2 linked regions of the Kluyveromyces lactis genome follow. The protein of the gene in region 2 binds, or shares a complex with, the protein of the main gene of each other region. Links are inferred from orthologs where the notes say so. Each region holds a gene or a part of one and is shown on either strand. Other genes may lie near its edges. The genes, in order: VPS75 and RTT109.

Evidence for each region.
Region 1: the proteins of RTT109 (region 2) and VPS75 are in contact, whole or in part, in an NMR structure (PDB 6O22), measured with the Saccharomyces cerevisiae proteins. The link is inferred for Kluyveromyces lactis from reciprocal best matches to the Saccharomyces cerevisiae genes RTT109 and VPS75. Residues at the interface, in NP_013099.1 of Saccharomyces cerevisiae: Ile25, Lys122, Lys124, Arg128, Tyr130, Leu137, Ile138, Ser139, Ala140, Pro144, Thr147, Leu148, Leu151, Arg154, Ile166, Leu175, Tyr176, Lys353, Ser354, Arg355, Lys356, Gln357, Ala360, Lys363, Tyr364, Glu368, Glu374, Glu378, Thr381, Asn382; in NP_014153.1 of Saccharomyces cerevisiae: Lys59, Ser63, Gln64, Val66, Ala69, Asn70, Ile72, Arg73, Ala74, Ser75, Phe77, Lys78, Ile80, Asp81, Lys170, Arg173, Lys177, Val213, Lys214, Tyr215, Tyr216, Ala217, Glu218, Gln220, Arg221, Asp222, Leu223, Glu224, Asp225, Glu226.

Annotation. Positions count from the first base shown.
Region 1 is NC_006039.1:272,969-275,944, reverse strand, and holds VPS75 (Vps75p), read right to left. Parts: upstream 1,621-2,976; coding exon 1,598-1,620; intron 1,506-1,597; coding exon 698-1,505; downstream 1-697. Other genes in the region: U2-type spliceosomal complex subunit CWC25, read left to right, coding at 3-623; CRS1 (cysteine--tRNA ligase), read right to left, coding at 1,852-2,976. UniProt on the Saccharomyces cerevisiae protein: Histone chaperone which acts as a cofactor stimulating histone H3 acetylation by RTT109. Preferentially stimulates histone H3 'Lys-9' acetylation by RTT109. May also stimulate histone H3 'Lys-56' acetylation by RTT109. Assembles nucleosomes (in vitro).
Region 2 is NC_006042.1:1,189,557-1,192,984, forward strand, and holds RTT109 (H3 histone acetyltransferase RTT109), read right to left. Parts: upstream 1,957-3,428; coding exon 664-1,956; downstream 1-663. Other genes in the region: dynamin-related GTPase DNM1, read right to left, coding at 1-297; PRE3 (proteasome core particle subunit beta 1), read right to left, coding at 2,283-2,865, 2,970-3,034; SFI1 (Sfi1p), read right to left, coding at 3,325-3,428. UniProt on the Saccharomyces cerevisiae protein: Histone chaperone-dependent acetylase that modifies 'Lys-9', 'Lys-14', 'Lys-23', 'Lys-27', and 'Lys-56' on histone H3 (H3K9Ac, H3K14Ac and H3K23Ac, H3K27Ac, and H3K56Ac) to promote nucleosome assembly, genomic stability, DNA repair and transcriptional regulation during mitotic S-phase.

The sequences.
Region 1 (2,976 bases), on a different chromosome or scaffold from region 2:
ACATGAGTGACTTAAATTTATTAAAGTCATGGAATCCAAAATTGGTGAAGAATAGAAAAAAAGTATGGGAGGCTCAACAACAACTAGTTGAAGAGAATAAAAAGATAAAGGAAAGACAGAAAGAAATAGAAAAAGAACGTGAGCTTGATCGATACAGCAGCTTGATTAGGGATGAAGACCAGAAAAATGTTAAGAGGAAAACAGGGTTAGAGTGGATGTATGACAACACATCCACAGCTTTGACAGAAAATGTAGACTACCTCCTTGGTAAAAAGGAAATAACAGACACATTACTCGACTTATCAGGGAACAACAATAAAAGTGAGAAATCTGAAAACCAAAAACAAACCATCAGAAAACATTACCAAGGAATTGAAGATGTTATATGTTCAAAAACAAACCATAAAAACGTTGACTTAAGTAGTGACGATCCAATGGCGAAGTTCAAAGCAGCTAAACAAGCCCATTTGAAAACATTGAAACAAAATATCCAGCCCACTTCACATGAATATCCTGTACACAAACCCTTACGTGGCGCAAATTCAAAAAGGTACGACAGTGGCAATGGGAGTAGATCAAATTACAAAAACTCTAGGTACAACAACAAATACTACAGAAGTTAGCACGGCAACAACCATGAATAAACGAATGGTACATTAATAATGAAGTGTACGAAAGGAATTATCATTGAACGAGTTCATTGCAATTTCGTCTTCTTATTTAAATGTTTGGAATCGGAACCTTCCTCATCGTTAACTTCTTCTAAATCAAGATCTAATGGAGCGTCGCTATCATCTTCACTATCACCGTCAGATTCATCCATGACATCACGTTGAGCTTCGGTGTAATACTTTACACAGTATGGATATAGTTCTTCGTTAAAAAGATTGGCTAATGCATCACCATTAGGAAATTCCTTCCCTGGTTTTAATCCAGTCCATTTAAACCATGCGAAAAAGGTCTTCATACCGGTTCTATAGTTCTTTTTACCCTCTGGAGTCGACTTATCTGATATCAGTTCAGGATTTATATTATCATATGATTTAGGCCAATCGATGTTAACAGGTTCACTAGTCAAAAAACCTAGGTCAGCGTCCAATTCATCGTCTTCTGCAGTTCTGTTTTTCTTAATCAGAATTTTAGATACATCTTTTTCAATTTTAAACACCTTACTCACATGTTGAGCCTTCAAGTCTCCCTTTATCTCATTGAATTCGATAGTGATTTGAAAATCCCTCGCGGTGCATTCCTCATCTTCAAGTGCCAATGGCTTGACAACTATTTTCTTTATAGCTTCAATGTACTTAAAATCTGATGCTCTAACGTAATTTGAAAAATCTGAATGTTGAGTTAAAGCGATATTCCAAAAGAACGGAATCTTCTCGATTAACTTATCTCTTTTATCAAAAACAGGAGCCATAAGTTTAATCTTATACAACTCGGCCTCGTTTTCAGCTAGTGCCATTTCGTCCTCACACTCCGCTAAACCTCTGAAAGCATTTCCACTGAACACGAGCAAAAGAAAGGATCAATTTCAAATGTTAGTATTAAAACAGCAGTGAACACAAAATCTAAATTGATTTATCTTAGTACATACCATACTGAGTTTGCAATGCACATAATTGTTGTTTGGTTGCTTGGCGTTATAGCTTATAATATATAGTAGTCAATCATCCCAATAAAGAAATAAAATATGCTAATTGTAAGATACTTAAGAATTCGTTAACAAAAAGAAAAAAATTTAAGATCTTCATTTGCATAAACTCAATACAACTGCACAATTCAAAAATAAACACAAAGAGATATATCTATAAAATTAAATAATTAGTAAAAGCAACACATTTAGCTTCACTACTGGAAAAACTCTTCATGGAGTTTCTTTTGAGCCAACCATTGTTTTTTTAACTTTTTATTCATTGATTTAGTAACTTCGTTACCATCTTTATCTTTAGTTGGAATTCCATCTTCATCCCATTCGGAATATAGGTCATTCTTAAACATATCTTGAGGGGAAATTTTTGCCTTCTCAAGTCTCTCCTGCTTTTTAGCCTCCTGAAGTCTTAATTGCTCAAGCTTTTTTGACTGTTTTTCAGCTTCTTTTTGAAGTTTTTCCTCATTGATTTTCATGATTTCATCTTTCTCTTTATCAGTCAAAAATTTGACAAGAGATGCTTGACCTTGTCTGTCATCTACTGCAACATTTAGTGCGACTAATTCTTCATCTCTAAGTCTATCCGTAGCTTGTAAAAACTGCGATGAAGGTGCTTTATTCATTGCCAATTGACGAACTTCATCTCTGAAATAAGAGAGGCATCTGACATAAGGTAGAGCGATGTCTTCCTTTGAAACGTCGGGGGAAGAATCAGAAGATGAATCGTCCAACCAACCTAAGCCATCAGAACGTAATTGAAATCCGATGACACCGAGAATCTTACTTATATATCTGGTAATTGCCAATAGCGGTTCAATTTTTAGTTCAGAGCTAATGTTCGCAATGTAACTGTTAGATTTAGTCAAAAGTTCATTAAGATGTTTCAATACCTGTGGTGTAGATAGGTTATCACAAAAGGAAGCATGAACTTTTTCCTGAGTTGATTTCAAAACGTTGAGTAAAGCCTTCTCTTCATTTGACAATTTTTTGCTAACAATCTTTCCTAAACCCAAGGAATGCTTGTAGTCATTATTCAAAGCCCTTATATTTTTGAAGAAATTAGTAAATGAAGATTCAAGAGATTTCACTTCGTTTAATAACGAATCCTTGAAATCTAATTGATTGTTCCATTGCACAGAAGCAAATGCAAGTCTTAACTGACGAGCGCTGTATTTGTTTAGAGCTTCTTCAATGGTAATAAAATTCTTCAATGATTTTGACATTTTTTGCCCTTCAATATGTAAATGACCTGTATGAAGGAAGTAATTAATCCACTGATGGTTATCATAGCAGGCTTCGGATTGTGCCAATTCATTATCGTGATG
Region 2 (3,428 bases):
ATCTGGCTCGTCATTAACCTGTTCAAGTGACGTAGATGAAGAATTGTCATAATTATAAACCAATGGAGAATTCGGATCAATATTATTCAACTGAAGAACTAGAGGACGTCTGGTAACAATACCAGTACCACGAGGTAAGAAATCTCTCCCGACCAACGTTTCCAAGATCGAAGACTTACCAGAAGATTGCGATCCAATAACAGCTAAAACCGGTAGATCCAAACTGTCAATGCCTGCATCGTACATAACATCCTGTAGCTTATTCACCGTAGGAATCAAATCTTCTAGACTTGACATCTTCAGAGTTACTTGTGTACTATACTCCGACCTAATTAACCGTTCTAATAGACTAGTTTAAGGTTAACAGGATCGCATCTAATATCTAACCAATCAAAGATACACTCAAACGCAATATTTAACCATTTCATTGGATCAAATTTCAAATAATTATTCTCAATGCAATAGGTATTTTTTATTATTTATTTATTTATTTTTATTTTTATTTTTATTTTTATTTTTATTTTTATTTGATTTAATTTGTTACATTTTTATTCTCTGTTTGATTTCTGCTGAAAATTGACTTCCAATATAGAGATCCGCTGTGATGTACGCGCAAATTGTCCTGAATCCATTATGTAGTATATATATATCAGCACCGTCACACTACGATTTAGGTTTCCTATGGACACTTAGAGTGTTTATTACGTTAATAGTGTTTATTTCAGGCCGTTTTGTAGTAGCGATCTTGTGGTGGTTTCCAATAACTTTTATCATCTTCGTGGAGTAATGCATGTCAAAAATATCTCGAATGTTCATGTATGCTTCTTCAGCACCTTCTTCAGTGTCATATTCTTCTCCAGTTATGTAGTTCTTCAGATTTTTAAAGTTCTTCTTCGAGGTTGGTATAATTATATCAGTCCGTTCTGGTTCATTGCAACGGCCGATGTATTTTCCTGACACTCCAATGACAGACACAGTTGATCCCAGTCTGAACTCTTGCCTTGCTTGCAATTCTGTCCAGAATGTTAACACATTGACTTTAGAAATTCGTCCATCACTGATCAGATGGTCAAGGAATCTGCCCTTGGGGTCATCAGGGAATAATGGTATCCTGTATAATGCAATGTCTTGCGGACTTTCAGAGAAAATGTCTCCTACGGTCCAATTTTGATATGCTGTGTTTCTCAAATAGTTGGAAATTACTCTTTTCTCTTCTCCCGGTATTTGTAAGGTTGCCTTTGTTTTATTATCGAAATCTTCGACAACTATTTGGTCTACAATCTTTAACCACCATTTGAGCAATTTGTCACCACTTAGGACGTGTTTCCTTGGGTTTTTAGATGAGTTTGAAAACAAATACTGCGGCTCTGCCCTGGTAAAAAGACTTACCTTTGTGACAATTTCCGTCGGAACCGGGAATGAAACGTATAAATCTTGGTCTGGGATTTTAACCCTTGAAGTTATCCCCTTCGAATCCAACGGTCTGTTGGATAATATTTCTAACGCTCTCTGTACTGATGTACTTCTCTTTATAATCTTTGCACCGCTCAGTGCTTTCCTTATCAGCGGTTTTACCGCCCGCAAATAATGTCCTGGACTAATTGCCAGAATATATGCAATTATTGACTTAGTTATCTGACCAATGTCAAGTCTTAGATCGCAATATCCGTTTGTATCTGCTTTGGAGACGAACAAGAGCCTTTCTACGGGACCATTATTGGCAGAATTCAAACTGAAATAAACAACAATTTCAAGAGCAAAAACAACCTTCTCTTCAAAGCATAATGCGACGAAATGTTGTGTCTTGATGGTCTTCACCGTTTTTCCATTAACGTCTTCAGCTTCGCGTTTTGGAAAAGTTATTGGCGAGGTTTCTCGTGGAATTGACTGGAGATTAATGATTTCGAACTCATGACCGAACGGAAGTGCATCTTTAATGTAACATTCTAAGGACATACTACTATATCATAATATCTGCTGGGCTTTTCTATCAATTAACAATTCAAGTTCATTTCTATATTTTTGCATAGCTAAGAGTGTATTAATGATCCGTTGTACTTTTTTATAATGCCTTTCTGATAATCTTAACTACTGAGAAAGTTTACCAATAATGGAAAGCCGAAGGCAGAATACCTCTCAGGACCGAACGCCCCTTAAGATTGGTCTTGATGATAAGGAAACCGAGGTTTCTCAGATTTATTCTTCTTATATACCAATTTTATTCTTTAAACTAATATACTTTTGCTTACAGAAGACGGGTTAAGACCGCTTTATCGTCTAATCTACAGGTTTTCATACTCATCGGGATACACAATTAAACGTTCCACACCTTCAGCAGTAAGGACAACCATTCTAATGACACCACCAGATGAACCATCCCATTTGATGGCTTGTGATAGAGAATGTTTTACAAATTCGATTGTTTCTTCTTTAGTCATATCTTCCTTATAGTTCTTGTCACAGTAACCATATATGAAAGCAGAACCAGAACCAGCAATTGAGTACGACTGCTTGTGCACAGAACCACCAAGAGGTATACTATACACCTCTCCTTTGTTTTTTTCATCGTAGCCCGCCACTATAATACCTGCTGTGAGATGATCCTTGTTCTCGTAACATAATGTCTTGAAGATCGATGCAGCAACCTTGGTTGTAGGTTCTCCATATTGTGAGGTGTACAATTCTAGATGGTACTGTACAATATCGGCAACAGCCTGAGTGTCTGCTGCTGAACCTGACCTACAACACCAGATTTTATCATGAACCTTTGTTAGTTTATCTGTGACACGGTTGGCAATATACGCACCAGTAGTTGTTCTGGAATCTGCCCCTAAGATCACACCATCTTTGAAAGTCACGGCCATACTGTTAACATTAATTAAGTTTAGTTAGTATTCACTGATATCATTAAAACCGATTGATTCGATTGTGGGAAAGAGGAATCTTAACGTTCCCTTATTGATACATACATTGAAGTACCTAGACTCACTTCGCCCTTTTTCAAGCGGTTCATATCAACTTGAATTCCATCCATTTTCGATTATATTTGGGAATGATTTGATACAGTTGCTCACTGATGATACTCAATCCTGTGAATATCGTCTTTTAGGCGGTTGCATTCCTTCAATGTTGTATCTTTCTGTCAAAGGTTTGCCACCCGCCAAAAGATTCAGTTATTCCTTAATATTTTGGCATTATCAACATAGCCGGGTAACAGAATAATGATAATAATACAAATACAAACTGAGAATGTACTTAGCTACATAACCGGCTTTGATGCAAGTAGAACCTTACGATGGGACGCAAGTGTGGATCAGACTAGACTCATTGAATCGGTCTGGATCTTCTTCTAGTTGGAGAATCGTCACGTTCGGGCAGAGAATCGCCTTCCAAGAAGTCGAGATCAACTTTTAATTTATCTGGATCTG